Linked DNA regions of Schizosaccharomyces pombe. The protein of the gene in region 1 purifies or fractionates together with the protein of each later gene. This does not show direct contact. Each region holds a gene or a part of one and is shown in the gene's direction. Other genes may lie near its edges.

Evidence for each region.
Region 2: the proteins of nse5 (region 1) and nse1 purify together in Schizosaccharomyces pombe (affinity purification with western blotting; one study listed by BioGRID). This does not show direct contact.

Annotation. Positions count from the first base shown.
Region 1 is NC_003423.3:1,256,060-1,259,980, forward strand, and holds nse5 (Smc5-6 complex non-SMC subunit Nse5), read left to right. Parts: upstream 1-1,843; coding exon 1,844-3,010; 3' UTR 3,011-3,133; downstream 3,134-3,921. Other genes in the region: prf1 (RNA polymerase II-associated Paf1 complex protein), read right to left, coding at 1-967, 1,015-1,188, 1,239-1,327; AP-3 adaptor complex subunit Apm3, read right to left, coding at 3,212-3,921. UniProt on the Schizosaccharomyces pombe protein: Acts in a DNA repair pathway for removal of UV-induced DNA damage that is distinct from classical nucleotide excision repair and in repair of ionizing radiation damage.
Region 2 is NC_003421.2:1,191,968-1,195,900, forward strand, and holds the start of nse1 (Smc5-6 complex ubiquitin-protein ligase E3 subunit Nse1), read left to right. Parts: upstream 1-2,019; 5' UTR 2,020-2,229; coding exon 2,230-2,808; intron 2,809-2,856; coding exon 2,857-2,976; 3' UTR 2,977-3,450; coding exon of another isoform or gene 3,451-3,765; 3' UTR 3,766-3,933. Other genes in the region: gpi2 (pig-C family GPI synthesis protein), read right to left, coding at 1-27, 84-253, 300-447, 506-1,104; protein Hsp10, read right to left, coding at 3,451-3,765.

The DNA of each region.
Region 1 (3,921 bases):
AGATCCCATGGAAAGTTCTTCCAAAGTGTTTAATTGATCGTCAATCTCCTTGACCAATTCTGCATTACCAGCAACATAAGCAGCTTGTCTCCTTTGACGAAGACGGGTCTTTTCAGCAGCGATGTTCGAAGGAACACGCGATAACTCTTTCTTCCTGTTAATAATATCAGAAACCTCCTTTTCGCTTAAAACGTATTTACTCATATCCCTGAGGTCATTCAGCTTTCGTTGTACAAAATTTTTAGAGGGCATGGAAAGCTTATCTTCCATCATTTGGTGATGCCATCGTTGGAAATCATGGTCGGAAAAAGGCTCATTTGATAAGACGTTGACATCGAACACTCTTTTCGAGCGACCATGAAAACATTCCAGTGAAACTTTAGTTAAAACACCATCAACACGATACGGCTTTCTGCTTTCTAAAATACCCTTGACTTGACATAAGCGATATACACCTTGTCCATCACGCTCACCAATTTTAACCCGAACAAAGCATCCAGTGACGGTGGACTCAAAGATAGGATGATACATGTACTCCGCGACATGTTTACGCCCAAGACGAATTGCATTTAAATCGTACAAATTGGCGGATGCATTATCTTTTGAAACTTGTTCAACTTTTTCCTCAGCATAGCTGGGAGAGTAACCTTCCTCTTCTTCGCTCTTCTCCGACTCATTCTGTTCTTCATAATCGGAAACAGGGCTCCTTTTTCTAGTTCTTTCAGAGACGCTTCTAGCTGAACGTTCCTGGCGGCGCTTTTTCAGCTCAGTAAGCTTATCACGTTTGCCAGCGGCTGCTGAAGTTAAAGGCTTGTCACGAGTAGACCTTCTAGTAGATTGCGCCATATACTGAGCATTTTGCTGATGGAGGCGAATTGCCAATTCACGCCTTTCCATCAACTTTGAAATTTCTTCTTCACGTTCGAAGAGAATACTCTCTCTCTCAATTTCCGTCATTGCCATTATCCTTTATTTGGTTAGACAACTTTATGAAAAATGTAAAAATCAACGTACTTTGCTCTGTCTGCTTCATCTTTAAACTTGCCCTCTAGACGATACGGGTTTTTGAATTTTTCTTCAAATTCGTCTTCCGACTTCTCATTTCCTTCTCCTCCAGACTCTTCCGCATAATCCTGTCCAACATTTTCATTATTGTCTTCGTCTGAACTGCTGCTCAACACATCATCTCTAAAATATGTTTTGTTAGCAAGGTCAATCCGATAAATTTGCTTTCTTACAAATCATCATGAGCCCTTTTACGGTTTGAAGCAACATCTGAGTCATCAATACCAGCTAATGCCAACAATTCATCCTGAAAGTCGGCCATCTTGGTGGAGGACAGGATCAGATTAGCTAGATACCTGACTAATAACGGTTCCAAGGACTCTCCACCAATTTCATAACAGCAGCGAAACTTTTATCTACTAGCTTTCAAAGGTACTATCTGCTAGTACATTAAAAGAATAATGTTTTTATAATTTGAAAAGTGATTTTTTTTTTAATTTTTTTTTTACGAAATAATTTTTGCAGATGTTGTCTTCCTTGGTTACAAACCTTATCGTTGAAAGCTTCCTTTTAAAATACTGCTCATTTGGGGTCCTCCTCTTTCCCTCTTTTTGAATATATTTCTTCTGTCGCGTAAAAACTTCAAACTGAGAATTCTGCATTTTGTTACAATATAAAATTCGTGAATCAAACCATTCAATAATAATCACAAGACTGTAAATAGGGCACATGTTAAATGCTCTTTTACAAAGAAAATCGTTTTAAGAAATAAGATATCTCTTCCATATCTGGCTTCTTTTACATATAAAGTAGCAAAGATTGCTTACGCCATTTCAAAATGAACTCGGCTCTAAAGGCAATAATAGAGCTTTGTATTGAAGAAGACTTGTTGCCAAAATCATTAGATGTTTTAGAATATCTTCTATCGACGACCTCTATACCAATTCCAGCTTGTTATATACGAATGTGCATAACTCTTCTAGTCCACCCAGAATATCCTACCTCTTCTAATATTCAAGAAAGCTGTAATTGGATATTACAGCAGGTGGTTGAGAACAGAAGCAAAATCAACTTTGACGCATGGTCATTTGAAAATGATCTATCGGACAACGATATGCCTAAAGAAAATTATCTGAAGATTTTCTCCAACCAATGCTTATTTACCCAAGATGTTGATTATTGGGATCTAATTGCATACATGTCTTCTCGTCCTCCTGACCTTGAACGTTGGATGTCCTTGATGGACATATGGTTAAGGATATTAGAGATCGATGCTGAGGAAAACGGATCTGCGTTGATGAAAAAATACATGGGAGAAGATTTGTGTGAACTTCAAGATGCCATCAGAATTTGCTTCTCCTGTTTCACTCTTCCCCAGCAAACAATGGAATCACCTTTTGCAACAAGTATGTCCAAAGCACCTGCTAAAACAGAAAGTCGAGGTTCAAATAGTTTTGAAGGAACATCAAGACTAGCAAACCTAGGTGCCAAACTCTTATGCCTTATATGGGCTATGCTTCCGAAGGGAAGATTTTTTGTTGTACATCTGACAGACGCTTTTCATTTTCTTAGCAAACTCGACGAACGTTTTTCAAAACTGAATGCGAAACAACAAGATCTTTTCTTTGGAAACTTAGGCGCCTCCAATCTCCGGTATTGCCTGAGCCAATATATACTTATGAAAGGAATAGGTATTGGAATTAACATACGCCATACACGTTGTGAGTTTACTAAACAGCTAACTCAACTTTTACCCACTTCCCTTCCGAAAAACAAAATCAGACAGAAGCTACATCTACGAGCATGGGTCTCATTTTTGGGTTCGGCCCTTCGTGAAAGTGATCGCAACTTTGATAAAGAGCTATTTTACACAACGTTGAAGCAGTTATACACAATGTATCAACAAACAGAATTAGTTGGTATTGATAGACCAATGGCAATACTCAAAGACATGCTTGTATTATTAGATATTTCAAAAAAATTGTCCTTGGATAAAATCGTTTAACTTAATAATTTAACTACAAATTAACAGAAGTCATTTGGCATTAATTGTGTATCCTAATATATATAGACTATATGTATCGTTTCAATGAATGAGGCTTTGTGTGGAAAATAATTATTATAATCATTAGTGATAACTAAGAAAATGAAATTTATATGAATAATATATAATAAACAAACGGGTAGATAGAAAGTAAATTAATTATTACCGAAAACGAAATGAAACATTTTGTGCAATAATTGTATGCTTGACCCCTTTATAAGATTTTTTATCTGGATGATTAAGCATCTTCAATGACTCTACTTTAAAATTATGAAGGGTTGATCCTTGAAGTTTATATTGTAAATCAAGGTGCTCAAGCTTAGAGTAGCTACTTGACTCTTCGGTTGAATTGGCATCTTTCTTTAAGGGGGCCAGGAATCCTGTCAACACTAAGGCCGGGGATGTCCAAGCTAATTTTTTTACCGACCACTCCAGAATACCTTCTTCCATATGAGTATACTTGGAAGCACGAAAAATATAATTTCCCTCGGTAACCGTAACGCTCTTTAGAGCTTGAGGAATAGTTATTAGGATTTTTAAATTTTCAACGGATTTTTTCCCGGTGTTTCGAATACGTACTTCGAACCTTCCATCCAACTTATTTTTTGCTTCAACAACAACAGGCAAAGATTTCTGGGTAGCAAAGTCTGTTTGAAAAGAAGCTAATGTAAATTTTCCGTCCGGTGGAATGAATTCAATCTGATCCGGATGTTGTTTCCATCTTTTTAAATTGACTGACTGGTGGAACCGAACATTCCCTAGTTTTGTGCCGGGTCTCAAACTCAGCAAAAGTAAAGGCATACCAGATATTTGACATTTGCATTCCATATCACTTTTAACTGTGCCAAAAGCAAGTTTTCCGTTAGGCTGGT
Region 2 (3,933 bases), on another chromosome or scaffold:
GCAATATCCCAGGGACCGTGAATTTCACTAAGATATATATGTGAGAATTTAGAAAGAAATAATAAAATAAAATAATTACATACTTTTTAAATCTTTGAAGCTTAATAAACCAAATGGGACATATAAACGAAATGAAAAATATTAATGAAAGAAAGACAAACGCAATAACAACAGATGCAACAGCATTCAAAGCAATATATGCACTTATGATCAATACGAGGGTCATAAGCATGTCAGCGTAAAAAGAGAAAACCTGTAATTGGTTAAATAAAAGAAAAGGCCAATAAATTGCTTCTTACATGAATGTATTTGCGAAAAATGGGGAATAGTGCAAACCAATGAACGGCAAAAAGAATAAAAAAAAATACATTAATTGACTTTTCCAGTCGTGAAGCTAGAACAACAGATGCACTCAGCGCCGCATTTGTTGATAAAGAATTGTGTAGCCTAAAAAGAAAAATAATTAGAAATGGAATTAATTACGATGAAGTTTCCAAAGACGTACCTGACATGAGGTCTGATAGTTTCCGTCGTATATTCATGAAAAAATACGTTCGCAAGGAAAAGCCAAACAGCAATAGCCCAAACTGAGTCAGGAGAGGTAGATTTTGTTAATGACATTAGAATTGGCGATAGACCAGCAAGCGTAAGAACAATTAATATACAAGATTTAACGATCCCCATGTAATTAGGAAAAGTTCTATTGTTACAAGGCTTTCTCAACACAAAATCCCACAAAATGAATGCCGCGACCGCAGAAACATTTGACACGAAACCAACAAGCGCACAAGATAACTGGTTCCTATAGATCGAAACGAAAACCGAGGCAAATATAACTACGCTTGATAGATGCTGGGAGACAGGTAAACTATCGGCCACTAAAGACCAAAAGTCAGTGACTTGAATGTTAACATTTCGTTGTAAGCCATTCAAAAAAGATTCATCAATGAAGTTATCTGGGTAATCTTGTTTCCTCCATAAAACCTTTTTCCAAGGTTTCTTTAGTTCAACAACTTCTTTTACAGAGGCTTTCCTGAACGTGTTCAAGACGAGTGATTTCGCGACCATCTTTTTGGGCGCTGGAGCAGCACATACTTCATCCATTCAGTTTTAAAGTAATTTATAAATCAACTAAATAACTACATTCGTCCTAAACTCTCATACAAATTAAGCTGAATTTGCTTCCAATACCGTATTTTCAACAGTTCTTAGAGTAGTTGGATTTGGTTAACATCGACTGACTATAATATAAGTTGACTAGTACTGTATGTTTGGGTCCGCAAACAAATAAACCACACTTTCCTAATTTAATTCATATATATCTACTTTAAAAAGTACATTCAGCATCGTTAAGAGTTTTTATTCCCAAGAAAATGATTTAACTGCATGACTCTGAATATAGGGTTGTTCATGAAATCTGCAATCGCGCATACTCGCAATTGGACTTTAATCTATCAATTGACAATTCAAGTGATAAAATTTACGACTGAACTCTTATAAACCCGAATTCAAGCATTCTAGTAAGCTAATAAGTCAACATTAATTATAAACAATTATTCTAAATTCAACGAAAAGTAAACTTTCACGAACAGGGTTTACATTTTACGAAAAATATGTGTATTCTTTCTAACTTTCCCTTATTCAAAAACTGCAAAAGGTTATCTCTTAGTTTCCTATTCTTGATGTACGTTTAACTCGTAGTGTTATAAAATACTTGAAAGCTAAATGTGCGTGGTACAATAAGATGATCAGTAGAAAAATATGCTGTTTTTTTTTTTTTAAAATAAATATAATAAATGTTCTTGTTCCATTGCTTGCATCTGTATGTTTTCTAACCATGTTTATGTGCGTAAACAATAGAAAGAAAAGGATAAAGAAAGAAATTTCACAAAAATATATAGCATAAATTTTTTTTAAAAAAAAGAAAGGAATATCTGCTGCTTTTCACAAATTGTTCTAGCTGCGCGTATTTAATGGTAATCAAATTTTGTTTCACACTGAATACTGATTTCATCTACTACCAACATATACCATTACACTGTATGTTTCATGATTGTCAATATATGAACGGACTATTTTAAGACAAAAAATCGAAACGACCATAAAAATTTGATAAAAAATTGAAAGGAAGCTAGGCGTTTTGTGCGTGTTTGTTTAAATTTGCATTGGTCAATTAACGCGTCAATTAGTAATCAAAATAGTAGAAATACAAAAAAAGGAATAAACGGTATGGAGAAAGAGAGACAAGATGGATTATCTGACAAGCATAAATTCATTCTTCAATATATAATGTGTCGCACAGCTGGTGTTGATAATGAACAAGTTCGTGAACTTGTTCAAGAGCAGTATGGAGAAACGGCAACTGTAGAAGATGTAATAAATGAATTGAACAATTCTTTGCACAATTTCGATTTTAAGATAAAACGAGTACAGGATCAACTGGATGGAAGATTAACGCTGCACTTTCAGAATTTATCTGGAGACCCAGTATCCCAAATGGCTACTCCTTACCCTCCTGTTCAGATAGAACTTATGAGAAAGATAATCGAATGGATCATGAAGTGTGATGATTACCAATATTCATTAACGACTCTGCAAATCCAAAAATTATCGAGAAAAGAAATGGGATTGGCACCTAGTGTTATTGAGTCTCACTTACATACGTTTGAACGTGATGGATGGCTAAGACAGAGAGAGGGTATTTGGACATTTACGAATCATGCGTTAGCTGAATTGGATGCTTATTTACACAACGAATACGAGAGCAATTTATACGAATGCAACGCTTGTCGCGAAATTGTAATTGCTGTAAGATACATATCACAAATGCAAACTTACTAACTGAATACCTTATAGGGATATGTATGTGATTGTGGCTACTGCTTGCATGTTTACTGTTGCAAGCATTTAGCTCATGTTAATTGTATAAATTGTAACACGCCATGGGCAAATGCGACCGTTATAGGACGCTGGTAATTTTTTCACTACCTACTGGTGTTCGCTTTACTTGTTTATACATTTGGGCTACTTGGGAAAGGATATAGAAAACTTATAAAATTAACAGTTTTTAATGTTGGAAAAAAGGGTTCGTAATTAAACTATGTGGAGAACACTCGCATTTTAAACTGAAATCGTTAAAATTCAGGTGAAGGGTTAGACTCATAAAACACGAACTCAAAATCTTCTTTACAAAAAAATAAAAGAGAAATGACATCGATCATCAAACGCATAATCACTGTCATTTTCTTTAAAAATGTCCGCATTTACATCACATTTAAATCTGAGTGCAATCGTCCTTAAAATTAGAGCTGTTAAAAAAGCCATCTTGTACCAGTTTATCGTAATTTGCTGCAAGAACAATAACAAAAGATGTTTTTGCGTCCAACAGCTTTTTTTTTAGTATGCTTAATAGGCAGTGGCTGACGAAGAAAAAATTACCCATTAATTAATTTATTCCTTGATGATAGCCAACAACTCGTGATCACGGTACAACGAATACTCCTCTTCGCCCACCTTGATGTTGCTTCCACCATAAGCAGGCAGCAAGACACGATCACCAACGGCTACGCTGGGTTGAGCCAGTTTACCTTCCTTGTTATAACCGCCCTTTCCGACGGAAATAACACGACCTTCGGATAACTTTTCAACGCTCTTCTCAGGTAGAAAGATACCAGAAGCGGTTTTGGTGTCGGCCTTGATACGTTGAACCAGAATACGATCCAAAAGAGGCACGATTGACTTGGCGGATTTCAGTTTGGTAGCCATGTGAAAGAATGCAAAATGATTTTAAAAAAAAGCCTAACAAATACAAAAACTGTGGTTAATGCCAATATATTTCCGTCAAAACTTGTTCGTTTTGGGCAAGTGCTCAGTAGCTTCAGTTGAAGCTGTGATCCTCCTTATTAATCTTTTGCAGATCATCTGGAAAGTTCT